7 linked regions of the Mus musculus genome follow. The protein of the gene in region 1 purifies or fractionates together with the protein of each later gene. This does not show direct contact. Links are inferred from orthologs where the notes say so. Each region holds a gene or a part of one and is shown in the gene's direction. Other genes may lie near its edges.

The links.
Region 2: the proteins of Sinhcaf (region 1) and Sin3a purify together in Homo sapiens (affinity purification with mass spectrometry; 4 studies listed by BioGRID and IntAct, counting the BioPlex papers as one, with this or other methods). This does not show direct contact. The link is inferred for Mus musculus from reciprocal best matches to the Homo sapiens genes SINHCAF and SIN3A.
Region 3: the proteins of Sinhcaf (region 1) and Tnrc18 purify together in Homo sapiens (affinity purification with mass spectrometry; 3 studies listed by BioGRID and IntAct, counting the BioPlex papers as one, with this or other methods). This does not show direct contact. The link is inferred for Mus musculus from reciprocal best matches to the Homo sapiens genes SINHCAF and TNRC18.
Region 4: the proteins of Sinhcaf (region 1) and Arid4b purify together in Homo sapiens (affinity purification with mass spectrometry; 3 studies listed by BioGRID and IntAct, counting the BioPlex papers as one, with this or other methods). This does not show direct contact. The link is inferred for Mus musculus from reciprocal best matches to the Homo sapiens genes SINHCAF and ARID4B.
Region 5: the proteins of Sinhcaf (region 1) and Rbbp7 purify together in Homo sapiens (affinity purification with mass spectrometry; 3 studies listed by BioGRID and IntAct, counting the BioPlex papers as one, with this or other methods). This does not show direct contact. The link is inferred for Mus musculus from reciprocal best matches to the Homo sapiens genes SINHCAF and RBBP7.
Region 6: the proteins of Sinhcaf (region 1) and Suds3 purify together in Homo sapiens (affinity purification with mass spectrometry; 3 studies listed by BioGRID and IntAct, counting the BioPlex papers as one, with this or other methods). This does not show direct contact. The link is inferred for Mus musculus from reciprocal best matches to the Homo sapiens genes SINHCAF and SUDS3.
Region 7: the proteins of Sinhcaf (region 1) and Arid4a purify together in Homo sapiens (affinity purification with mass spectrometry; 3 studies listed by BioGRID and IntAct, counting the BioPlex papers as one, with this or other methods). This does not show direct contact. The link is inferred for Mus musculus from reciprocal best matches to the Homo sapiens genes SINHCAF and ARID4A.

What each region holds. Positions count from the first base shown.
Region 1 is NC_000072.6:148,929,471-148,932,970, reverse strand, and holds part of Sinhcaf (SIN3-HDAC complex-associated factor), read left to right. Parts: intron 1-2,320; coding exon 2,321-2,420; intron 2,421-3,500. UniProt on the Homo sapiens protein: Subunit of the Sin3 deacetylase complex (Sin3/HDAC), this subunit is important for the repression of genes encoding components of the TGF-beta signaling pathway.
Region 2 is NC_000075.6:57,110,876-57,114,375, forward strand, and holds part of Sin3a (paired amphipathic helix protein Sin3a), read left to right. Parts: coding exon 1-277; intron 278-2,670; coding exon 2,671-2,840; intron 2,841-3,500. UniProt on the Homo sapiens protein: Acts as a transcriptional repressor. Corepressor for REST. Interacts with MXI1 to repress MYC responsive genes and antagonize MYC oncogenic activities. Also interacts with MXD1-MAX heterodimers to repress transcription by tethering SIN3A to DNA.
Region 3 is NC_000071.6:142,814,863-142,818,993, reverse strand, and holds the start of Tnrc18 (trinucleotide repeat-containing gene 18 protein), read left to right. Parts: upstream 1-1,331; 5' UTR 1,332-1,722; intron 1,723-1,743; exon of another isoform or gene 1,744-2,277; intron 2,278-2,677; exon of another isoform or gene 2,678-3,548; 5' UTR 3,549-3,792; coding exon 3,793-3,979; exon of another isoform or gene 3,980-4,131.
Region 4 is NC_000079.6:14,062,501-14,066,583, forward strand, and holds the start of Arid4b (AT-rich interactive domain-containing protein 4B), read left to right. Parts: upstream 1-1,283; 5' UTR 1,284-1,532; intron 1,533-1,542; exon of another isoform or gene 1,543-2,098; intron 2,099-2,324; 5' UTR 2,325-2,373; coding exon 2,374-2,379; intron 2,380-4,083. UniProt on the Homo sapiens protein: Acts as a transcriptional repressor. May function in the assembly and/or enzymatic activity of the Sin3A corepressor complex or in mediating interactions between the complex and other regulatory complexes.
Region 5 is NC_000086.7:162,773,872-162,777,371, forward strand, and holds part of Rbbp7 (histone-binding protein RBBP7), read left to right. Parts: intron 1-681; coding exon 682-758; intron 759-1,864; coding exon 1,865-1,922; intron 1,923-3,500. UniProt on the Homo sapiens protein: Core histone-binding subunit that may target chromatin remodeling factors, histone acetyltransferases and histone deacetylases to their histone substrates in a manner that is regulated by nucleosomal DNA.
Region 6 is NC_000071.6:117,109,494-117,112,993, reverse strand, and holds part of Suds3 (sin3 histone deacetylase corepressor complex component SDS3), read left to right. Parts: intron 1-114; coding exon 115-184; intron 185-3,180; coding exon 3,181-3,236; intron 3,237-3,500.
Region 7 is NC_000078.6:71,074,967-71,078,466, forward strand, and holds part of Arid4a (AT-rich interactive domain-containing protein 4A), read left to right. Parts: coding exon 1-1,103; intron 1,104-1,476; coding exon 1,477-1,581; intron 1,582-3,500.

The sequences.
Region 1 (3,500 bases):
AAAAATAGTTTTAGAAAAATGTGGAGATAATTCCATGAAAAGCAATGGGAGCAATGAAAAGGGAGCAATGTGCTAATAATTAAAACCACTAGTTTCTAATACCTGGGTATTAAGGATTTCATGTTCTTAAAATGAGTTAGTACTGACTGCTTACTCTGCCTCTTTATGGTTTTAGCTGGACAAACCCTTTTGTTCCTAAAAGTGTATTTTAAAAATGTATCCTTATTCTCTGACCAGGAGTGGTCCTCCTGTATTCTTTCTGCATTGTTTTTTTTTTTTTTTTTGGTTTTTTCGAGACAGGGTTTCTCTGTATAGCCCTGGCGGTCCTGGAACTCACTTTGTAGACCAGGCTGGCCTCGAACTCAGAAATCCACCTGCCTCTGCCTCCCGAGTGCTGGGATTAAAGGCATGCGTCACCACCGCCCGGCTCTGCATTGTATTTGAAAACAGTTATCGTTTAACTTGCTGAGGAGGATGGTAGTAGTATACTTAAATATTCTGCCCTGAAACTTAACAGGGTATGTTAACTTTCCAAGAGATACTTGAATAAAATATTGAATACTGAACCATTTTTCATAGTAAAAGCTACATGTGCACACCTGCACTTGATGAGACAGACATTGATTTTGGTTTGTTTGATTGAGTGCATATGTACCTTTCCTTTTTGTTTTTTGTTTTGATTTTGTTTGTTTCAGGAAAAGGGTGCGTATAACCCTGGTTGCCCTGCATCTCTCTGTAGACCAAGCTCGCTTCAAACTCAGAAACTCGCCTGCCTCTGCCTCAACTGCTGGGATTAAAATCGTGTGCCACTACTGCCTGGTGCATGTACACGTTTGAGTGCTTGCATGTGCTGTGGGATTCATGTTGGGGGTTGGGGCAATCGTGAGTGTTGATCCTTGGCATACAGGTGATTATTTTATGTATTTTCTGCTTCTTAGGCCAGGCTACTTGGTTGTGAGTTTCTAGAAATTCTCCTGCTCCTAAGTATATTATATATATGTATGTAGAGCACTTGGGCTGGAGAAATGGCTCAACAATTAGGAACACATGTTGCATTTCCAGGGACCCTAGTTCAGTTCCCAGCACCCACATGACAGCTCTGTAATTCCAGTTTGAGGAGATCCTGTTCTCCATGGCGCATGGCACACACACACTGATATACATACATAAAAACTAAGTGAATTTAATTTTAAAAATACTTTTACTAATTTTGTTTTATGTACATTGGTTTTTACCTGCATGCATGTCTCTGTGAGGGTGTCAGGTGCCCTGGAACTGGAGTTACAGATAGTTGTGGACTGCGTGAACTCGGGTCCTTTAGAAGAGAGCAGTCAGTGCTCCCAACTAACCGCTGAATCATCTCATCTCATCTCTAGCCACCTCCTCCCCACTCTTTTTCAAGACTTATTTATTTATTATATGTAAGTACATTGTAGCTGTCTTCAGACACTCCAGAAGGGGGCGCCAGATCTCCTTACAGATGGTGATTGCTGGGAGTTGAACTTAGGACCTTCGGAAGATCAGTCAGTGCTCTTAACCGCTGAGCCATCTCTCCAGCCCTCCTCCCCCCTCTTTTAAGGCAGGCTCTCACTGTGCAGCTTTGACTGTTCTGGAACTCACTATACAGACCAGGCTGGCTTTGAACTCAAGAGATTCATCTGTCCCTGCCTCCCAAGTGCTGGCTGTTAGTGGTGGCATGCACTACTACATCTGGCTTAAAGATTTTTTAATTGGAATACATTGATTTGATTGATTGGGTTTCTTTAAGCTAATTTTTTAAATTAAGAAGTTTGTTTCTTTATTCATGTTTTCATCAAATCTATCCTTATCCTTTCTACCACTCTCCCAACTTCAACTGCCTAAGTTCCTTCATTTCCTCTCTCTCTCTCTCTCTCTCTCTCTCTCTCCCTCCCTCCCTCCCTCCTTCCCATGGTACATGCCTTTAATCCCAGCACTGTGGAGGCAGAGACAGGCAGATGTCTATGAGGCCAGACCAGTCTACAAATTGAGTTCCAGGACAGCCAGGGTTGCTTAGTGAAGTCCTGTCTAAAACCAATACATAAAATACATAGTTTGTTTTTAATTCTTTTAAGATGCTACTGAATCCACTTAGTGCTACTCACTTAAACGTGGGTGTAGGACCACTACCAGAACATTAATTTTATATCTGAAATGTACTAGAGAAACAATGGAAAGACTATGTTAGGATCGGCAGAAGTTGCATTTATGAACCATAAATGGATGTGTTTTTCTCCAAGAGAAGTCTCCACACAGAGTCCTCACGAATGCAAAGCATGATGACTTGTTGATTTCCTGTCAGGTTGCATGAGACTCGCTCAGGAGACATCTGTAATGCCTGTGTGCTGCTTGTGAAAAGATGGAAGAAGTTGCCGGCAGGATCAAAAAAAAACTGGAATCACGTTAGTTCATCTTTTTCTATCTAAAACAATGTTAATATCACCATCCCCAATTTAGGAAATTCTGTATCACCGGGATAGAAAAGGCTAAAAGAATAAAGAAAACCACTAGCCTGGCGTGGCATTTCCTAGACTAGTAGTAATTCTGATTTAGACACAGTTCCTCTTCACCTTCAAGAGTGGCATGCTGCTTTGAACTCATGACGCACAAATTTAGTCTTGTTTGCCTTTTGTGTTTACTGTTTGCTAGTTGTAGACTTCTGGCAGGTTATAAAGCTTTTAGCTGTCCATAGAGATACTCTAGGGCCTAAATGAGATGGTGCCTATAAAAGAAAAAGCTAGATGGTGCTGTTCTATATTTATGCTGTGATCAAGTCAGCAATGTAGATGTGGATTTTGTTGGCCTTTTTGCTCCTGTCACTAGAATTTTCATAATAGGTCTTTTTAGATATATTTGCAGTTTTGTAAAATTATATCTACTTCTGTGTGTATTCCACCTGTGTGAGTGAACCAGAGGGGACTATGGGACCCCTTGGAGCTGAAATTGCAGGCAGTCGTGAACTACCTGGTGCTAGGCATGGCTGTCTAGTCCGCTGGGAAGCAGACCTCTCATAATTTAACTTAGATGACATGAGCAACACTTTTTATTTTTATTTATTTTTTAAAGATTCATTTATTTTTTTATATGTAAGTACACTATAGCTGTCTTCAGACCAGAAGAGGGAGCCAGATCTCGTTACAGCTCCATGTGGTTGCTGGGATTTGAACTCTGAACCTTCGGAAGAGCAGTCGGGTGTTCTTACCCACTGAGCCATCTCACCAGCCCACTTTTTATTTTTTTAAAAGATGTTTTTATTTTAATATGTATGAGTGTTTGTCTACATGTAATATACAACATGTCCTTGGTGCCTGCAGAGGCCAAAAGAAAATATTGGATCTCCTGGTACTGGAGTTAGGTGAACATTGTGAACTAAACTCGCTTCTGCAAGAAACAGCAAATTTTCTTTTTTAAAGATTTTATTTATTTATTTATTTATTTATTTATTTATTTATTTATTATATGTAAGTACACTGTCGCTGTCT
Region 2 (3,500 bases), on another chromosome or scaffold:
GGCAGCCCCCCTAAGTCCAAGTTGCTATTTAGTAACACAGCAGCTCAAAAGTTAAGAGGGATGGATGAAGTATATAACCTTTTCTATGTCAATAACAATTGGTATATCTTTATGCGACTGCATCAAATTCTCTGCTTGAGGCTGCTACGGATTTGTTCCCAAGCTGAACGGCAAATTGAAGAAGAAAACCGAGAGAGAGAATGGGAACGGGAGGTGCTAGGCATAAAGCGAGACAAGAGTGATAGTCCTGCCATACAACTACGTCTCAAGGAACCTAGTGAGTGCTTAGACTGTCAGCTTTATGCATGGGGTAGATGGCTGGCTTCAAGGCCACCTTACCTTGAAGTACACTTAGTCCTTAGATTGGAACTAGGGTTCGTATCCTACCTCTGCAACTTAGCTGGTTGTGTAACCTTCCTTGAACCCATGAATGAAACCCCCCCCCCAAAAAAAAAAAAATGGAGGCAGTATTTGTCACTTTCTGTGGTTGCTTGAGGGCTTAAGAAAGATGCAAGCATGGAACCTTGTACAGTATCCGGTTCATGGTCATGTGAGGTGTTTAGTTTGCACTGTGGACACATGAGGGACGTGGGATCCATTGGCTAGGTTAGTGAGCAGTGGTTCAGATGAGAAAGAAACGTCACAGTTCTTTCTATTCATAACATAGAAATTCCTTGTTATGCTTATGGCACATAAGGAATCTTTTCAGATGTGTGTTAGCATCTCCTTAATGGGCTTCTTGGTTCATTCCTGATATTTCTGAAGAGGAATTGGCACTCAAGATGGTTTGAGACAAGGCAAAGGGATAGACAGGATTCAAGGGAAAGGAAGCCCAGAGGCTCATTTAAGAAGCTAGCTATCATTGGCTGTATGCTGGGTTCTGCCGCCTCCTTCCACATAATGCTTTCATTCTGAAGTTGGGTGCTTAACCTGTGAGCCAGACACATCCTCACAGGCTTCCCTTCTTTGCTCTTCACGAAATAGTAAATAACTGCTGTAGGAGTCCTGTGTATAAACCTAGTTTCTTATCTGTTGAACTAATAGCACCAGGAATCTGTTTGAAAAGCCTTTATCTGTTTTAGTCCTAGCTTGGAAGAAACAAGTAGAATTTACAAATATAAATCTGGGCTTGATCACTGTCTTATCCTGGACTTATGCTGAAGCAGCTTATTCTTGAGTGATAGTGCCAACTTCATGCCAGTCATAGTTTGTGGCTATAAATCTGTGGTTTGGACTCTTATCCTAGTATATTTTAAAGGCTAGCTCCCTGCTTCCTGGGCTTAGACAAAGTGATGTAGTGTGACACAACTCAAACCAGTAACTTGTTTTAAGCAGTGATTGTTCGTTTTTGCCTGTAAGATCCACCCCATTTGTCCCCTTTCTAATTTCTCCTTACTAATGGATGGCCAGTAATCAGTAAGTGTACTTTTTGTAGTTAACATTTTTGATCAAATTTTTATTGATGTGCAACCTGTATGCAAAAAGGAACACAAATGAGAATCTGCATTTGTGTGGGGTGCATGTGCCTTATGTGCAAGGAGGCTAGAAAAGGCTATGGCCACTGTGTTATGTACCTTCCTTCTCGAGACAGCGTCTCACTGAGCCCCCTAGAGATCCTCCTCTCTGCTGACCTTCACAGTGCTAAGGTGACAGGTGGTGACAGCCAGGCTTTCACATGAGTGCTGGGGCAGGGGCTCTTATCCACTGAACCGTATCTCCTGCCCCACAAATAGAATTTTATGGCTCTAAATTTTTCTATAATGAGCATACTTTAGTCAAAAAAAGAGGTCAAGAAAATAAAGCCAAGCCCCAGTAACTTCTTTGTTCTACTATTTTGGTTTTCAGACTTAGAAATGAGTTTTTTTTGTATTTGAGAGTGGGTCTACTGCTATAAAATGCTCACTGTCCCAGAACTTGTTTTGTGGCCTAGGCTGGCCCAGCAATCCCCTTGCCCCTGGGATTATGTACATACATACATACGTACATACATATGTACATACATACATACATGAGCTCCTGGTGCCCTTCTTAGTTACTATGTCCTTTTACTAGTAAGATTCACTCCAGCTACTGGTTAAATGTTTCATGTGCAACAAATACAATTCATCTAATGTAATTACTGGAGTTCAGTGTTGCAAATCTATTTTAAGCAAAGGGACTGTGATACAATCAGAGTTATTCATTTTCATAGAGGGGTTAATTTGAATAACTTCTGTAGCCAAGAGTTCCAAGTGTGGTAGCATCTACCTATGCCTGTCTTCTCTTGTCCATACTTTATTCTTCATTGAGGTACACTCATGAGCAACTGTCCCCTTTGTGAAATGGTTTTGTGTAAGTGAAGGAGCCAGCAACTTGAAGGACTCTCTTGGGATATTTTGCTCTCAGGTGACAGAACTCAGCAGTGCTCAAAGTGTCTTTTTAGCAGTCAGTCTGTGCTGGAAGCGACTGTTAGAAGTTGCAGAGTCACTGTTGGTTCTTCGATGGACAGTTCTGGTGATTATAGCTGCCTACTAGATGTCATCTCTGTAGTGGGTTAAGTTGGACATGTTTTTGCATATCTGGTATTTTGTCCTTTCAGATGGTATATAGGCCAGCTGTGGGATTCTGTATTCTCTGTCCTCGAGCTTGTCTTAGCAGAGTACAGTCTTACCTGTCTAATCTTTCCTGTAGTGGATGTTGATGTAGAAGATTATTACCCAGCTTTCCTGGACATGGTGCGGAGCCTGCTTGATGGCAACATAGACTCATCACAGTATGAAGATTCACTGAGAGAGATGTTCACCATTCATGCCTACATTGCCTTTACTATGGACAAATTAATCCAGAGCATCGTCAGACAGGTGAGAGGGTGTGTTGGAGGTTAGCGCTACCAAGGGAAGGTGTTCTCAGCTAAAAGTCACAAAGGAAAAGCAAGATTTCTATGGGAAAAGGAAAAGCAGCTTAACCATATATATAGCAGTGTTTATAAACATATGTCTTTGAAGTGGAAAGGACCAAGTTAACATGAAGTCTTGTGTGGCTTCTCCTTCAGAGACAATAACAAACATCCCTTTGATACACTGACAGCAAACCAAAGAAATGATTCTAGTTAAGTCTTAGTGAGCCATTATGTGTGTTGGGGTCACTTAAGGAACATGAGCAACCCAAAGGCAGTGCAGTGAAAAGCCCACTGTACACAAAACCTGAGTCTTTGAAGCTCCTGCACAGCCAGAGGGCAGCTTGACCTATGGGAGAGAGTACTTTCCCCAGAAATTGTTTCTCCTTTTAGAAGAGGATCAGAAATTCAAGTTCATCCTTGGTGGGGATGGGTGTGGAGATGGTTTCTAATTTAAATTTCAGGGGATTTCTGAATTTTCTATTTCCTTTATTTCCTGAACCTTGTACATTTTGTTTACTTTATGAGTCTGGTGTTACTGCTCAGAGAGGATAGCTCAATAAGTCTCTCTCCAGCTCACAGAACTGGACTCTTCCAGCCCTGGAATTGGTTCTTAGGTTCTCAA
Region 3 (4,131 bases), on another chromosome or scaffold:
TCGGCGGCTCCCTGCCACTTAACTTCGAAAGTTTTTTTTTTTTTTTTTTTTTTTTTTTTGCTGAAAGAGCAAAATAAAAGTACAAAGTCTGGGGGATTAGTGCTCCCCTCCCCCTCTGGCCGCCGTGGCCAGCCAAGCACTTTTGGGCTTGGCTTGCTTCCTCTGAGCTCAACAGATTTTTTTTTTTCCCTTTCCCGGTCTCGCCCTCCCTGGAGGGGGCGCGGCGGATGGAAGGCGAGAGAGGCCCCCAGCCAAGAGGTTTTTAATATTACACCTTAATAGGTTTCAGAAGGCCCCGTGGAGAAATGCTAATAGGGCTGAAATGTCAGAACCGAGAGGGATTCAGCTCGCGTTCCGCCGATCTAATCCTTTTTTCTGCTCTGGTTTTTCTTGGCGGGGAAAGGGGGAAGGAGGGGCGCCCACGCCAAAAGGGGCTTTGGGGAGGGGCGCGCGGTGCGCACTCGGCCGCAGAGCCCCACAGCCCGGGTTTCTATAGGAACCTTTTATAAGATGCAACTCACCGCTGCCGACCGCCGCGGCCTGTCCAAAATATTAATCAGTAAAGCCTTCTGACACCGCGTTTCAGGGAGGGGACCCGCAGGCAGGGGCAAAAGGAAAAAAAAAAGGCCTTGTCGCCTGCCTGCCCACCCCACCCGACCGCGACTGCTAGGGGGAAAGGGAATGAATCGCTGCTTTATTTTAAAAGGCGAGAGTGAGCGAGCAAGCGAGAGAGAAGCAGGCCTTGTTATTTTTCGTCTGAACCTCGCTCTTTGGAGTGGCACCCTAGAGAGGGAGCGCCGGGCGCGGGCGCAATGAGCAGCTCGCCGGTTCCCGGCTCTTCCCGGCTAGCTTGTCACCTCCTCCCGAAGAAGGAAGCTGACAGGAGGCCTTGCAATGCCCGGGATTGCGGCGACAACCATCTTCCTCTATTTTGATCACTCAGCCCAGACGCAGGAGGAGGGGCTGGGATGTGGGGGGAGGGAGAAGGAGAAAGAAGGGGGGGGTCTGCTGGAGCTGGTGTGGGGGAGGGCTGCCTAGAAACGGCTCGGAAAAATTCTCACCACCAGTTTTGATCATTCAGCCCCGCCGTGGGGAGCCTGGAAACTGCTGGAGCCCCGAGGTCCGTAATTGGTTTTATAGGAATGGCTGAGGGCCAAGGTGTTTACATGCGCGTGATGGGCGGCGAGCGGGACCAATGCGCTGCGGCCGGGGGCTGGCCCGAAGGGGGGGGCGGGCACCCGGGAACAATGCGTGTTTCTTCGCCTGCGAGGCTCCCCTCCCCCGTCCCCCTTAAGCCCCCCCTTCGCTTTTTTTTTTTTTTTTTTTTTTTTAGATCCAGCGAGAGGAACTTGAAAGGGGGGTTGTGTAATGTACCTTTTCCAATCCCGGGCTGTATATGGAGATTTGGGATTCTTTAAACCGGCGCTACCTGGATTTTATTAAAAAGCGGGGAGCTCGGCGGGAGGAAAGCTGGCTTTTCCGGGGGCTGCGGGAGCGGGGCCGCGGGAGGGCGGAGGAGTTGGCGCGCCGCGCGCCCGGCCCGGGGAGCGGTTTTCTACCAAAAAAAGGAAAGGCGGGCAAAAAGTGTGAGGCGGCTGCGGGTGGCGGAGGGGAGCGGCGGCCGAGGGATGGCGGGCAGTACGGGCGCCTAGCCGCGCCAGGAACCGCGGCGGTTGCCGGAGTCGCCGTCGGAGCCTGGAGCCCGGAGCCCCGCCGCGCCAGGTACGCTCCGGGCCCCGATGCTCCCCGAACTTGTGCAGCGTACCCCTTGGGTCCGCAAAGCAGAAGGTCCCCGAAACAGTCGGGGTCCCCAGAAGGGAAGCGGAGGGCAGGGATCAGGGGGAGAGGACGCATCGCTGCGCCTTGGACTCCCACCCGAGCTCTCAGTCTGCAGCACCGCCGAGGGCGGCGGTTCCCTACTTGGTTCCCGGCAGGCGGCGGGCTAGCCCGGGGACGCCGAGACGGTTTCGATTATAGGCTGTTTTTAATTAAAAGCCGGAATTCAGCCATTTTAGCTGCATTTAAGAGGGGAAAAGTAGAGAAGGACGCAGTGGAACCCCGCAGATAGCCACGCCAGCTTCTCGACCATGGCAAAGGCTGCTCCGTAGGGCTTCACCCCGACTTCCTTAAAGTGGGGCGCCTGGGCTCTGCCTTTTTCAAAACGCTGCCTTTAATGAATATTATCTTTAAGTGTATGCGGGAAGCTCCTGGCGCCTTTGAGACAAGTATCCCGGGCTGTGACGATCCTAGATTTTTTCAAAAGTAAACGCGATTCTGGTAACCAGAGCCTGATAAAGAGCGAGGGCGGGCGAGAGGAAGAGGGGGTGTTGTAACCAAAGCCACGTTAAAATAGGCGTCCTTAGCAAAGTTGGGGGAAGAGGACTTTTGGGTCTGGGCGTAGGGCGGCTGGTCACCCGGGAGCTGTGGCTTAGTCTCCGTCTGCTAGAGCGCCCCGGTTCTCCCGGAACCAGGGGGTCTAGAGTAGCCTGGGGCTGGTAGTCAGGGAGGGAAGGGTGGGCTCTCTGAGACCTCCCTACCCCCTCGGGAACAGGAAAGCGACAGATCTTTTAAACAAACAGCTTAAATAGGACTTACAGGAGGGTTTACCCGATGCTGGGGAGGCGCCCCTCCGCTGGCCCGCGCTGTTAAGTTATTTTTTTTCCTTTGTAGGTTATTTTGGGGGTGTGTGGGTCACAAAGCTAGGGTAGAATTGAGATCTTTGGAGACCCCTTCTTTCTTCTCTGATGATCCCCAAATCCTCCACACCAAGCCACGTTCTCCGGGCATCGGTATTCCCAGGCCCGGGCGTTGGAAAATGAAACCAAATCTTGTTTTGAAGGAGTCTTTTTCCAGTTCACGGGCGAGAATGCCACGTCTCGGGGACTCGGATTCTGCGACTCCCAATGGCCCAACGGGGGCAGCAGGAGGGGGGCGGTGATCTTCCTTTAAAAATAAACCCGTTTCGTATCTGACCTTGGTAAACAACAACAAAAAGCCCCTAAACCGAACACCCCTTTTATTATTATTATTATTATTCGCGGCTCACAAGGAGAAAAAAAAAAGGGAGACGAGGGCCCTAAAAAGGTTAAACATTAAACTTTGCGAATCAGATAGTTGGTATGGCGTTATGGACACATTTCAACCAACTCAAAAGCATTCGAAGTTTTAAACCTCCAGAGCTTGTGACGCCTGAAAAATAAACTACGGGTTTGGATTTAGCTGAACGGGCGCGGTCTGTTGAGTGGCCTTCCCCAGTTAGGGAGAACTTCGTAGGCAAGAGACGGGGCTGGGACACAGCGAGCCGGGCCGCTTCCCTGAGCCACGTCCCTGGGAACCCTGAACTGCTGGAGGAAGGACCCTAGGTTTTCGCATTTCGAGGAGAGGGGGCGGCTACTCCCGATTTTATTTCTGGCCACCAGCTCGGTTCGCTACTCTCCTACCCTGAAGGGCGAGGCGACTTTCTGAAACTTGTTTTCTTTTTTTTCTCTTTCCCCTCCCCTTTTCCCCCTTCCCTCTTCTGTGTCTTCCGCGGTCTTCCCTCACCAAAGATACCGTGTACGCCTCCTTCCTCATCTCCGCTCAGCCGCCCGGAGGGGACTCACCGCGGGCGGTTCATGCGCCCCGGGCCGCGGGCCCGTGGTTGAGCGCAAGCCCCGCTGGCCGCCGCCATGCACGCCGCGGAGCGCCCGCCACCCGAGGACACTAGGACTACATCGAGGCCGAACTTTTAAGTCCCACTGAAGCAGGCCGGCGGGCCGGGTGGGGAGGCTGATCGCGGCACTCCCGCGGAGGATGGATGGCCGAGATTTCGGGCCCCAGCGGTCCGTCCACGGCCCCCCGCCGCCGCTGCTGTCCGGCTTGGCCATGGACAGCCACCGCGTGGGCGCGGCCACCGCCGGACGCTTGCCCTCCTCGGGCTTGCCAGGTCCCCCGCCGCCCGGGAAATACATGGCCGGTCTCAACCTTCACCCGCACCCGGGTAAGTGTTGCGCACTGTGCTAGCACCCACCCTCCAGCTTTGATGGGGATATTAGGGCGGGAGCCCAGGTCAAACCTAGGCGGCTGGAGCTGGGCGTCTCTGTCCGGTTTCACCAGGGTGTGCAGGAGGCTCGCTCAGCTGCTAGCGCAGAG
Region 4 (4,083 bases), on another chromosome or scaffold:
TACTGGATCAAAATTCCTACCTCACCTCTCTGGGCCTCAGTTCTTCCTACTGGGAAGTCTTTTTCCTGAAACAGGTTTCCTTTCCTTTAGGGACTTCCCTTAGTAACTCTGGCTGGCTTCTTGAGTCAAGCTTAGTTCTCACACTCTCAGGAAAACCTTTCTATACCTCTCGAAGCCAAAGGTCCTCCTATCAGGTTTCATTTTGACTAGACTTCCGTTCAGGAAGTTATACATCCCCTCTTTCCACATGAGGACTTCTAACATCTCAGAGGGTGAACTCTGAGCATCAAACATTCATACAATATTGAAAATTTCATGCAAAGTATCTCTCTCTCTTTTTAAAATAGGCCGGCTCTGGCTTGAGACTAGCGACACAGATATGGGTCACCGAGCTCAGCTGTTAGGCGCATAGCAAGAACCTTTGACTCCAAGCCCCGGGGGGCGATGGCTCTGAAGGAAAAGAAAGGGCTCCACACAGGCATAGCTGTAATAAGCTCGCAGGCGGGCTTCTTCCCTGCGCTGCACCGGTGGCCCTTCCACTCTTTCCGAGCTCCTCTGCCTCCCCTCATCCCAGCACCCGGCCGGCAGTCACTCCGAGCCGGGTCAGCATCCGGGTCCTCTCTCCCTCCTTACTGCTTCCTCCTCCGTACCGCCCCCTCCCCCGCTCCCCATCCGGGTCCCCCCTGCCACCGCGCTGTTGCTCACGGTTCCACGATGATCTCAGACTTGAAGCCGCCGCCGGTACGAGACTAGCAGTGCCCACATCGACTTCTCAATTTATTGTTCTGACTGCGGCTCTTCAAGAGGCTTCCTTGGAGCCCTCCCACTATTTCACACAGAAATCTCTGCCCTCCTCAGCGGCCAGCGACGCCGCAGCACTCAGTGCAAGAAAATACGCCATCCCTATCACACTGCGCAGGCGTCGTATGCCACCTCCCCTCTGCCTCATGGCCGCGCCTCCTTCCCCTCCCCTCTCTCGTCGAACGCAGGCAAGTGGGCATTGCGGTCTTGGTAGTTCTAATGTCCGTCAGTTTACCGATTGGCCTAGAAGACTGGACTACAATTCCCAGAAAGTATTGAGGGATAACTTTCTGTTTCCATAGAACTGGTGGGTAAATGGCGTCGTTGTTTGCATCGCTCAAACCAATAGAAACTTGGAAGAGGCGGGCTCCAAAGAATCCTACCCAATCCTAGGTCGTCTGAGAGGCATCCGGGAAAGAGGTAGGGGAGGGGCAAAGGGCCGAGGGGAGGGGAGAAGGGGCAGGGGGGCCAGAGAGGGGGGAAAGCGATGTTTGCCCGTCAGTCGAGTCCGGAGTGAGGAGCTCGGGCGCTGGAGCGGAGGGAGAGTCTCGAGCCGCAGTTTGCCGCCGCGACGGCCACCGCCTGGACTTCTGCCCGGAGGGAGCCGCTGAAGGTCGGCCGCCGTGTTCCTCTGGAGGGCTGTGAGACCGGGGCCCGGACCTCCGTCCGAGAGGGATTTTTTTGTCGCCCCCCTCCCCCCGCGAGGGAGCCGGAGCGGCCGCCAAACAAAGGTACCAGTCGCCGCCACGGGAGGAGGAGGAGTCGGAGCCGGAGTCCCGGCCGCCGGCGGACCCGCAGCTCCTTCGCTCTCTCTCCCCACAGGCCTGCTGGTGTTGGGGGTGGGGGGAGGCGGATCAGGGGGCTCTGGCCGCAGGGCTCAGACCTCGTCTGTGCCCGAGGTAGGGACATTCTTTTCTATGGGGGAAGCTCCGGGCCGGGCCGCGCATCGGGGCAGATGGCAACGGGGCTGAGTCGGCGCTCGCAGCGGGGCCTCGGCCTCCTGGGACCCCCGCCCCCCGCCGCGCCGAGCCGGAGCCGCCCTACCCGGGCCGCACCGTGGGCCCGGCGGCCTCGGGCCGCCGTGCTGGGAGCTGGATGTCCTCGGTGCCCGGTCCCGGCTCCCACTTGTGGGCCTTGGCTCGGGCGGGACGCGGGCGGACGCTGTGGGGCCGAGCCTCCGCAGCCCAAGGGCCCGCCGGTTCACCGAGGGCTCAGTCCGGGGGCTCCGGGCATCGCGGTTCCGTAGGCTTGGACGGTCGCAGCCGCGCTTCAGGCCGCGCCGGACCCTGGGCTTGTTGTGAGTTTTCTTCTGACAGAAATGGCGTCATCGTGGAGGACGGGGGAAAAGTCCGTGGAGTCGCGACAATGGGGCGGCGGGCGGTGGGGGCGGTAGGGGCGGTGGGATGGCGCGTGCCTGCTCGGGGCTCCTGGCCCCGCTCGGTGCCGCCCCCGCCCCTACGGCCTGGGGCGGGGGTGGTGGTGGTGCCGGTGGTGCTGACCCGGTGTCTTTGTTTCCCCTCCAGGTGCAGGTGAAGCTGGTGTCGCCGTGGGGATCGCGGCCCCAGAGTCACCATGAAGGTAAGGCGTCACTTAGCCAGTTTGAGTGGCTTTCGAATTCAGGAAGTGTCGGGGCTGTAGCAGGCCTGCGAGTTTTGCAGAGGCAGGTGTGTGTGTGTGTGTGTGTGTGTGTGTGTGTGGAGTGGCTCGGTGTGGAGCTTTCCCTGACAGGGTCAGCTGGAGCGAACATCCACAGGCTGTGTGTTTCGAAGTTATGGAGTCAGTTAGGAGATAACCTCACCCAAGCTGTTCAGGTTTCCCAAACAGAACAGCACCTTTTGCATGGAGCCGAAGGAACAACTGCACACATTAAAGCGTCTTAAATCGTAAAACGGAAAGCTGGTCTAGTAACCTGAATATTGAAACTGTAGTGGGTCTCTCTCTCTGTTCAATGATGAAAGGAAATGTCATTTGATTATGTGACCGGGACCGTAAATTTTAAGCAGAAAGCAAAATACTGAAGATGTTTAAAGCAGTTTGGTGCTCCTTCCCTAAAGAAACCCGAGTTGGCCTGCTGTGCCTTGTATTTCTAGGGACTTAGGTTTCTGTATGGTTTCTTTTTCTCACTGTTGGTGTACTGATCTTGGAGTTGACTCTTTTAAGATATGTTGTGTGTAATGGGCAGGTTGTACTGAAGTAAACATGTTGACCACAGAATAGCTTCTAAGAAATGTGTCTAAGAAGTAGTCTGTGTATTGATGGAATAAATCACAGCTGTTTTAGTTTTTTTTTTTTTTTCATATTGGTATGAAAAGCTTTAGGTATCTGAAAATATCTAGATTTAACTGTTGGAACTTTGATACTGGAAAATTTTTCTTTAAAATCTACTACAAATTCAGATATGCTTGGAAAGCGTGTGTATTGAAGTGTTAGAATGTAAATGACATCTACTTTTGACAGTTCTTTTGGGATTCTTTTTTTTTTTTAATTTAATTAATTTTTTTTTAAATTTTAATTAATCCAGTGAGGATTGCTTTTGTAGGACTGCATCCAGGTACAGTTTCAAAAGCTTCTGTTTGTAGACTACAAATGCTGTTGCCACTTTGTGTTTGTCTCTTGTACAAAGCAGTTTAGACCCTTTTAAAGGTTTTTTTTTTTTTTTTTTTTTTTTTTTTTTTTTTTTTTTTCCTCTTTTTGAGTTTGGGGCTCTGTAGAGGCTTGGCTTTTATTTTCTAAGTTCCTGTCTTTCATATGAATGAAAATGTAACCAGTGTTGTATGAGAGGTGGAACCTTTTTGTTTGTCACAGATGTACAACCTGTATGAAATAGTGAAAAGTGAGTGTCTTAGGGCAAAGTGAAGTTTTTAGGGAAAGCATATATCTGTCTTGTTGTTGGGTATGACTGGAGGAAAGCTTTAGGTTAACTGATAAATGTATACTGCACAATACATTTGGAAGCTGAATACATTTGGAATAAATGTTGTAATCTGTTAGTTCCTGTTGTGATGTCTGGCACATCTTAAATTCTCAGTAAATGTTTGTCTGAAAGGGAGGTACTGAGTTGAAGATGTCAATATGTTTTTGTTTTTCTTAATTTTCATTTTCTGTGTAAAAAAAACTTTTCTTTTTGAAGAGAAAAAAAGGAAGGAAGGAAGTAGGTAGGTAAGTCAGGTGTGAGGGTGCGTGACTGTTTCCACTTCCCATTGGTGGAAGGAGGATCAGTAGTTCAAGGACAGCCTGGGTTAGAGGCTAGCCTGGTCTACATATTGAGTTGGAGGGCAACAA
Region 5 (3,500 bases), on another chromosome or scaffold:
ACCAGGCTGGCCTCGAACTCAGAAATCCACCTGCCTCTGCCTCCCAAGTGCTGGGATTAAAGGCCTGTGCCACCACTGCCCGGCTGAAGTTTTTTTTATTTGGTGGAATTTGGACATTTTGTTTTTGATAAAGCTCCTCATAATTCTATATAAATCAAGGTGATGGATATTTTTGTTGTTGCTGTCATTGTTTTTGAGAGTCCCCTCCCATCCAGAAGTAAGAAAAAATTCTTCAATGGAATCAGTTTGAAGTACATTTTCAAGGATTTTTCAATTAAGAGTGACAATATGGTGGGTGCACTGTAAAAATGGTCCTATACATAGTTTTGGATTAGAGATTATAGGCTAATTTTAAAGGTTTTATGGATGGTTATGGGTCTAAAGATTTCTGGGATTCCTGACTTCTTCAGTACTAGAAACATGACTTCCTGCCTGCAGGCTTGGGGAGCTGGGAGTAGCTAAGGATTTGGGTACGTAGCTCAGTGGTAGAGCAAGCACAAAGTGTTGGGTTCAGTGCTGCCATCAAGGTGGATTGGTAGGGCTCACTTTAAAGCCTTGGACAGTCAAGTCTCTAGGCTAAGCGGATACAGAATGTGAGGTAAGGAAATACAGATTAGAATGATACTTACAGACCAAGGTACCAAGGCTCTTTAAATAAGTTTTCAAAATCTGTATTGCTAGGTCCACTGGTCTCCACATAATGAAACTATTCTGGCCTCAAGTGGTACTGATCGCCGCCTGAATGTGTGGGATTTAAGGTAATTTAGGATCTGGTGACAAGGAACTGCATAAATGTGTCAATCTAACAGATTACATAATAGAACTCATAAACCAGGAAAGCAATTTGCTGATCCAACTTCAATAAACTCCTAACTACCTTAAGAGTTTCTGTTCTGTGATAGAAAAGTAAATCAGCAATTAACATAAATTGGTCATGTATTTTGTATGAGTGTTTTGCCTGTGTGTGTAACACATGTGTGCCAGGTACTCATATCAGATCCCCAGAACAGGGACTATGAGTAGTTGTATAGGGATAGTACAATGTGGGGGCTGGGACATAAACCCTGTTGTGCATCAGCAACAAGTGGCCTTAACTGCTGAGCCACTACCACTCCAGCCCTATTTCTTTGTTGCTCAAGTCTTTGTTATGTGTGCTTAGCAAATTAAAATACCTTTTGCTACAGTTCACTAGGGTTGTAGCTCAATGATAGAGCTAGCATACACAAGGTTGTGGGTTCAGTCTCTAGTACCACAAGCATTAAAATACTGTCAGTGTCTCCTTGCATGTAGCATAGAAAAGAGAATTGTTGGATTGAGTGTTTTCGCTTTCATTTTTTGTGACACAGGGCATTGTGTAGCTCAGATCAGACTGGCCTCAAACTCATGATATTCTTGACTTTTCCTAACAAATCTTTCTTTGGCTTATACTTCATTAAAACCACAGTTAAAAAAGAAATTGAACTAATGTTTATTATGAGCAATATTTCTTCATTGTGCAGCTTTAATTTATTAGTGGCTCCAAATGAACAACTCACAATAATAAAGAATACTTAAGTCTGTTCTCAGCATTCTTGATGCTGCCACCCTTTAAAGTTCAGTTCCTCTTGTTGTGGTGAACCCCCCCAACCATAAAGTTATTTTTCTGGCTACTCCATAACTGTAATTTTGCTACTGTTATGAATCATAATATAAATGTGTGTTTTCACGCACCTGTGAAAATGTCGTTTAGCCCACACAGAGTGGCAACCCATGGGTTGAGAAACCTGTCTTAAGTACTTCTCATAGAGAAATACTTTCTGGGTTAATAAAACACACATGCATGCTATAAGACTTTGCAGTAATGAAAGCTTTATTTTCTTAATAGTAAAATTGGAGAAGAACAATCAGCAGAAGATGCAGAAGATGGGCCTCCAGAGCTCCTGGTATGCATTAGATTAAATGTCATATTATGCACACTTGAGTACTTTTTTACTAGACTATTTTAGGTCAGTCAGAGCTTCAAATTTTAGCTTGCCAGTGATTTCAAAAAAAAAAAAAAAAAAAGGAAATCCAGGAAGTTTTTGTGATTAGGCTCTGTAGGCTCTGACATTTATTACAAATGGTAAATGGAGCCCCAGAAGTTTCTGGAAATGTTTCAGTGAGGGTAACTTTAAGTTCCTATTGATTTCAGGTATGGTGTTTTTTGAGGCTTGTTTTGTTTTTGTTTTTCTGCTGGGAGGGGGATTGGGAGGTAGTATCACTGCTGTTTGATTACCAGCATGGTTTTCTCTAACCATATGGAAGTTAACACTTTTCTGTGAAATACTGACAGGCTTAGTAGTAGCTCTTTGTCCCTTTTCTGAATTGTTCACCATGTGTCTCCTCCAAACATTTGGTCATTGTCTCTAACATAGGTGAGAATTTATGGTGCATGAATTTTAAGGTGAAAAAAACCCTTTGAGAGTAAGTCCAAGACACAGAAGGTGTTCACTAGTGCTAACCTTGTGCAAGCTCCCTTGTCTCTTTGGCTTCTGTGCACAGTAGCGCCAGGCAGAAATGAGCAAGAGAAGGATAGGGGATTTTTAGACCAGTGTGTTTGACATTTATATCATTGCTGCTTTAAAAAATAATTCTATAACCCAGGAGGCTCAAGCAGGAAGGCCATGAGCTTTGAGGCCATGGCGGTGGTGGGGTAGGGGGATGAGACATTGAGTGTGTGGTATACAGATGGTAGTGTCCAAAATACTTTATTGTGCCTGACTCTTAGCCTTCATGATTTTTTTTTCACAAAGGCCTTTTGTCTACAGCTAGTTTTCTCTGTGTATATATTATGAATTTGCAATAGTTTTATAGTCCTTAAGGAACACCATTATGGGGCTAGTGAGGCAGCTCAGCATTTAAATACCTACTGTTCTTGGCAAGGGGACCAGAATTCAGTCCTCAGTACTCATGCCAGGTGGCACACAATGCCCTATAATTCTAGCTCCAGAGAGATCAGACATATCTGGCTTCCATAGGCACTGTACTCATATATATATATATAGGCATACATGCCCATATAATTGAAACTTTTAAAAAGTCTATTATGGTACTCATAAGAAAGCTTGAAATCAAAGGACATTTAAATTTAAGACTAGTAAGTTGTCAGTGAAGAGAAACGGTTCAACTGATAGAAGCAAGCTTGCCCCCCCCCCCCCCAAGGAGAGAAAAACACGAAGTTATTTATTTGTAAAGCTGTTTACCATACCATTTCACTTATGTGAAATTGTTGCTTTTAGTTTTTTCTGTAGCCAAGGCCTCACTCACAGAGATATGTGTGCTCTGAGATATGTGTGACACCCCCCCCCCATCTTGGTTTGTTTATCTCAGTTTTTTTAAAACTGATAAAGCTGTACTACAAGGTTTGTTAGGCATAGTGCCTTGTAGAAAACAAGATCCCACCCTTTTACATTTTTGGGGAAAGTTTCATTGGCCTATGCTGCAAGTCTGGACCTTAAAGTATTTATTTTTGCAACCCTGTT
Region 6 (3,500 bases), on another chromosome or scaffold:
ACCCACATGGGATAGAAACTCCTTCTTCTCCCAGAAGTCTGCCGATTACGCTGTCATGATGCGGATTCTGTGAACCTGATCATAACTGCCCGCTTCTCCCCTTGTTTCGCCCAGACACCGAGGATGCCAGCGAGACTGACCTGGCGAAGCACGATGAGGAAGACTACGTGGAGATGAAGGAACAGTGAGTAGCCCGGGTGCCTTTTCTCTGGAATACAGAGGCCCCCTTTTGACCTCAGTGCTTGCAAAGCACAGATGTTTCTGTAGTTTCCCTCTCTGGTTGCATCTAGGAGCCTTCCTGTTAGGAGCCTCTTCGGAGGCTAGACTAGCAGGAGCCGTGATGGGCATGGTGGGCTGGGGCAGTAAGGCCGTTAGAATTGCTGTGAAAACTGGTACCCAGGACAATGGGTATCTTGCAGGCCCCCAGCCCCTGTCCTATATTGTGGGTCATATGCTGGGTGTCCCAAGTGTCCTGGGAATTGAGGGAGCAGGCTGCCACCCCCTTTCCTGCCACATTCTGTTTGTTCTCACACATCTTCACGAAAGCCACAGTCAGCTAAAGCTCTGACTGTTTTCTGAGAGGGGTGAGAGCGTTGTTTTGAGACCGGACTAACCTTCAGTTCACAGAATGCAGGGATTGATGGTGTTGTCCCCACGCCTGGCCTTATTATTTTTATTTACTCATTTTTTTTGAGACAGGGTTTCACTGTGTAGTCCTGGCTATCACAGAATTTGTTCCCTAGATGAGCCTAGCCTTGAACTCTCTTGAATTCACCAGCTTCTATCCCCAAGCCCTAGGATTAAACGTGCACCCCCCCCCCCCCCAGCTGTCGTTAGTTTTTAAAAGAAACACACCGTCAACCACCAGCAAGAAACAAATCCAGAGTCTTTCCCTGTTGCCAGACTGGTGTCAGGCTTTTGGGTTCCAGGTGTCCTCCTGCATCAGCCTTCCAAGTAGCTGAACCTCAGGTGCCTGCCCACCGCTCTTGCACCTGCTACCTGATCTGTGCCCAGATGTGTGGTCGCGTAGGGCGTGTTTGAGATAGGGGATCACTTGGAGGTGATCTAAGGCTGCCTTGAACTCACCGCAGTCTTCCTGCTTCATCCCCCAAGTGCTGGGTTACAGGTTTTGAGGCTCCGTGCCCAGTTTTCAGGAAGTGGTGACTGGGTCTATCTCAAGGCTCTTGGTTTTGAACCCTTAAACTCCTGTAGGCTACGTAGTCCCCATTTCTTCCCCTGGCTTCTCCTTTCAAATGTGCATGCCCTTCTCTCTAGCATCGGTCATCTTCAACCCAAAGCAGGAACTCAATTAGGTGTGACCGCTGCTGGGCGAGGACACATTAACAATTCATGTGTGTGCACTCAGCTGCACCTGAAACTCAGCCTGGTCCTGCTGCTCTGCCAGCTTTTTACTGGCTGAGTCCGGCCTGCTTGAAACTTGCTCTCACAGACTCTTCTCCGTGGATGTGATGTCAGTGGATCTGGTGCCCAGCCCCGATTCCTTTCTCATTCCCCAAGTAATCTCTTTGCCTGCTCCCTTTTTGTGGTAGGGAATTGATGTCCTGGGTCTACAAACTTCTCAAACACTGTCCTCGCCTGTCTTTGCCATGTTTTAGAAACAGTTTTTTGTTTGTCTGTTTGTTTTTTAAGACATTTCTTTTTCTTTTATGTGCATGGGCGTTTTGCCTGCATGCTCTGTGTACCATGTGTGCAGTGCCCTCAGAGGCCAGAAGAGGGCGTTGGTTATCCTGGAACTGGAGTTATATATAGACTGTTCTGGAAGAGCAGCCAGTGCCCATAGCGCCTGAGCCACCTCTAGAGCCGGGCGGCCCCTCTCAGCAACAGTTTCAGAGATAAGCGTTTGATTACCGTGCCTCCTTCATACTTACTAAGCTGGACATCCGCTGTGATGAGAACTGCGGCCACTGTGGTGTACCTGAGTTGTGCGTTAGGACTGGTCCCCAGAGAGCAGTCGGGAGGGCTCAGGGACCCCTCACTGTCCTGAAGCGAGGGGTTTGTGCGTTAGGACTGGTCCCCAGAGAGCAGTCGGGAGGGCTCAGGGACCCCTCACTGTCCTGAAGCGAGGGGTCTGTGTGTCTGTTAGCCTTTCTGAGGAGTGAGAGGGTCTTGTTGAACCGTGTTCTCCGAGGCCTTTGTTGTTGCCACTGAGAAACTGGGAGGTTTTCATGGAGAAGCAGAAGCACTGCCCCAGATGTGATGTGCCCGGCCAGCCTCCCAGCCCAGATGGACTCGCTGGTGTGTGGTTGCCTGTAACCCCTCCATGTGCTAGGTGTGAACTGGCCACATTACTTAGTGTGCTCTATGCCCTAGCCTAGCCGGGGCTGCATCCAGCCTGCATTTGCCTTTTGAGCTTGGATTGGCATTCTTTTTTCTTGGAAAGGTAGTAGCTTTCACGTGGTGGGAAGGGTTGTGGGCCTGGTCCTTAACAGCCATGCTGTCTGTAGGGCGGGTGTGCTGAGGGAACCACATCCCACCATTCACAATCCCTTGGAAATCACATTTTTTTAAAAGATTTATTTATTTATTATATGTAAGTACACCATAGCTGTCTTCAGACACTCCAGAAGAGGGCGTCAGATCTTGTTACAGATGGTTGTGAGCCACCATGTGGTTGCTGGGATTTGAACTTCGGACCTTTGGAAGAGCAGTTGGGTGCTCTTACCCACTGAGCCATCTCACCAGCCTGGAAATCACATTTCTGTGTATTCTTCTTGTGCGTTAAGGGGGTTATGCTGTGTTGCACTGTGAGTCAGGTGACAGCTTGCAAGGACCGGTTCTCTCCTGCTACTGTGCTTGCTGGGTCCACAGGTGAATCTCCGGCCATTAGTGCTGGTGGCAAGTGTTCTCGCCCCATTTCCTCAGCCCCCTTTTGCCTGCCATTCTTGGTCTATTCTTGCTTACCTTGTACTGTAGGGATGCGCTAGTGCCTGTGGCTCTCACCCTGTGCAGTTCGCACGGCTTCATGGGTGTGTGTGTGTGTGTGTGTGTGTGTGTGTGTGTGTGCATGCACTTCAGGAATGTGGGGGCGTGTCTCTTTGTGATCCCTTCATCTCAAACCTCTTCAGCCTGACTCCCCTTCTCTGCCCTGAAGACCACCGCTCGCATCTCCAGGTCAGCCCACTCCTCCAACCTGTGCGCTGAGTCTTTCCTCTTTTGCAGGATGTATCAGGACAAACTGGCATCTTTGAAGAGGCAGCTGCAACAGCTTCAGGAAGGTAGGTGTGCCACTGCCCGCGCTCCACAGTGCCCCCTGCTGCAAGCCATTGAAGTCTGTGAGTTTCGCTTCTGTCTGGGAGTGCAGGCGAGGAGGGTTGAGACTGGTCTGTTTGAGTCATCTGTACATGGTCTGCTGTCTCTTATCAAAGAGTGAGTTCCTGACTTTGATATTTCACTGTCTTCATGAAGTGTGGAACACACTCTTGACGTTTCCCTGGGGCATGGAGACCACCATGCCTAAGATAGACTTTGTCTTTTTAAGA
Region 7 (3,500 bases), on another chromosome or scaffold:
CCAGCTGGAGAAGAGCTCAGGGGGTGAAGATCTTTCTCCTGATGTCAAAGAAGAATTGGAAAAAAATGAAAATGCACATGATGATAAACTAGATGAAGAAAACCCAAAGATTGTACATATATCAAAAGAAAACGACAGGACTCAGGCACAGCCCTCAGACACCCTGACGGTGGAGGCAGGGGACAGCGATCAAATTGTGCATATTTTTGGAGACAAAGTGGACCAAGTAGAAGAATTTAAGAAACAGGTGGAAAAGTCTCCCAAAGGGAAGGGAAGGCGCAGCAAGACAAAAGACCTTTCGTTAGAACTTATAAAGATTTCACCTTTCGGCCAGGAGGAAGCAGGCAGCGAAGCTCATGGGGACGTTCATAGCCTGGAGTTTTCTTCACTAGAATGTAAAAACTTTTCTTCTACTGAAGATGACATCGACCCATATGAGAAAGAAAAAAAGTTGAAACGAAAAATCCTGGGACAGCAATCCCCAGAAAAAAAATTGAGACTTGATAATGGCATGGAAATGACAACTGGAGTGTCCCAAGAGAGGTCTGACGATGGCGCGGGAGCCGAGGGCATGAAAGGCGCACACGTGGAACAGCACTTTGAAACAGAAGGTGAAGGGATGCCATCGCTGACAGCCGAGCCCGACCAGGGCCTTCAAGAACTGACTAGTGAGAAATCGGACAGTCCAGCCGAAGAAGAACCGGTGCACACGCCACTCAAAGAAGAGGAGGATGCGATGCCTCTGATCGGGCCTGAAACCTTGGTTTGCCATGAGGTAGACCTGGATGATTTAGATGAGAAGGATAAGACCAGTATTGAGGATGTGGTAGTAGAAGGCTCTGAGTCTAACTCTCTGGCTTCCGTACCACCTGCCTTACCTCCTGTAGCACAGCATAACTTTTCCGTAGCTTCCCCACTCACTCTCAGCCAAGACGAGTCCCGAAGTATAAAGAGTGAGAGTGACATTACAATTGAAGTTGATAGCATCGCCGAAGAATCACAAGAAGGCCTCTGTGAGAGGGAATCGGCGAACGGGTTTGAAGCCAGTGTTGCCTCTGGTGCCTGTAGTATAATTGCACACGAGCGAGAGAGCAGAGAGAAGGGTAAGACTTGCGGGGGACTGAGCCAGTCAGGGCTTGGCTATGACAGACGTTTACAATTGTCTGTTTAAGAAAATAGTGGGGGGCTAGAGAGATGGCTCAGCGGTTAAGAGCACCGACTGCTCTTCCAAAGGTCCTGAGTTCAAATCCCAGCAACCACATGGTGGCTCACAACCATCTGTAACAAGATCTGACTCCATCTCCTGGAGTGTCTGAAGATAGCTACAGTGTAACTTACATATAATAAATAAATCTTTTTTAAAAAATTTAAAAATTAAAAAAAAAAAAGAAAAGAAAATAGTGGAATGGCATGGACAGGTGTGTAAACGGACCTGTCTGCCTCTGCTTCTGTTTTCAAGCTTTTCCTTTATTTCAGGTCAGAAAAGGCCAAGCGATGGAAATAGTGGATTAATTGCAAAAAAGCAAAAGCGAACCCCAAAGCGGACAAGTGCTGCAGCCAAAACTGAAAAGAACGGAGCAGGTGGGTGTTTGCCAGCGCTCGACTTCCGGTGCTCGGCCTCCGGTGCTCAAGCACCCGTGACCTTGCGGGTGCTTGTTGCTGTCCGTTCCTGCCCAGCACAGACTCGGGACTTGATCATTTGAGCCATTCCAAAAATGCGTGAGGTTTATTATGTTCTGAAAATAATTTCATTCTTTTTAGTGTGTGTGTGTGTGTGTGTGTGTGTGTGTGTGTGTGCGCGCGTGCGAAACATTTGTACTCACGTGCACGTGTGTGTATATGCACATATCTGTGTATGCACATGCCATCAAATGTATGTAGAGGTCAGAGAACAGCCTGTGCAGTCACTTCTCTGTCTGTCTGTATATGATGGGATTAAACTCAGATGTGGAGGCTTGCACTGCAAGAACTCTACCGGCCTCCTCCCCCCACCCCCATCCCACCCCGCCTTCATTTTAATCTAAAGATGCCTATTAGTTTTACTTAGAACTGCAACAGCTAAAATTATCACAAAGCAATTAAATATAAGGCATTTCAGAATCTTCAAGAAAAGAAAAGGTTTGTTGTGGTGTTAAAAGTATGCAAAACATGTGTTTATACTGGGAATGGTCTCTTTTAGTCAGTGTAGTGGCTATTCCTGGTTGTCAACTTGACAATATTTGGAATGAACTACAATCCGGAATTGGAAGGCTCACCAGTGACCCTTATCTGGAGGCTTGGAGATCCTTATCTGGATCTTGGTTTGAAGATCTTGAGCCATATTGGCTATGGATTCCAGAAGATTGAATCTCCGAGTTTAAGGAACACACCTTTAATCTGGGCTACGCCTTTCATCTGGGATTAAAGGTGTGGTGGAACACACCTTTAATCTGGGCTACACCTTCTGCTGGAGACAATATAAGGACATTGGAAGAAGGGAGTCTAGCTCTTGCTCCTGCTCCTTCGCCTGCTTGCTGCGTGAGACTGAGTAACTGCTAGATCCTTGGACTTCCATTCACAGCTGTGACTGAACGATTGTTGGGAATTGAGCTGCCGACTGTAAGTCATCAATAAATTCCTTTATTATCTAGAGACTATCCATAAGTTCTGTGACTCTAGAGAACCCTGACTAATACAGAAGTTGGTACCAGGAGTGGTTCTAGAGTAACAGAAGTACAAGGATGAATCTTTTAAAATTCTGGAATTGGCTTGTTGATCCACCAGCACTTTCAACTATTGAAACCTCTACAGATTCTCTCCCTCCTGGGAGCTCAGAGAATTTTGAAGACCCATGGTTGAAACTATATTCCGAACTTAAAGAAGCTAATGCCCTTGATTTTCTTAATGAATTAGGTGATTCAGTGCACAAAGCTTTCTACAAGATGGGGAAAAAATCGAAAAATGATTTTACTGGCTGGCTGCTCTTAGTATCTGTGGAAAAAATGATGAATGAAAGGAAGGAGTTGTGTGATAAAATCGAAAGGCTCCAGACACAAGTAAACAATCTAAAAGTTGCTAAGTGTGTCCTTGAGGAGAATCTTCTCTCTTGTAGCAATAGAGCTCAAGTTGCAGAAAATCAAACGGAAACTCTCATTGTAAGATTGGCTGAACTACAGCGAAAATTCAAGTCTCAGCCTCAGAGTGTGTCGACAGTTAAAGTAAGGGCTCTAATTGGCAAAGAATGGGATCCTACAACATGGGATGGGGATGTGTGGGAAGACCATGTTGAAGCTGAGAATTTTGAATCCTCAGATTCTCAAGGGTTTGCCCCACCTGAGGAAGTAGTACCCTCAGCCCCACCTCTTGAAATAATGCCTTCCCCACATGAGGAAATTAATTTTGCAGAGTCTGCTCACGGCCCACCAATAGTTTCTTCTAGACCTGTAACCAGACTCAAAGCAAAACAGGCTCCTAGAGGGGAGGTAGAAAGTGTAGTCCATGAGGAAATTCGCTACACTACT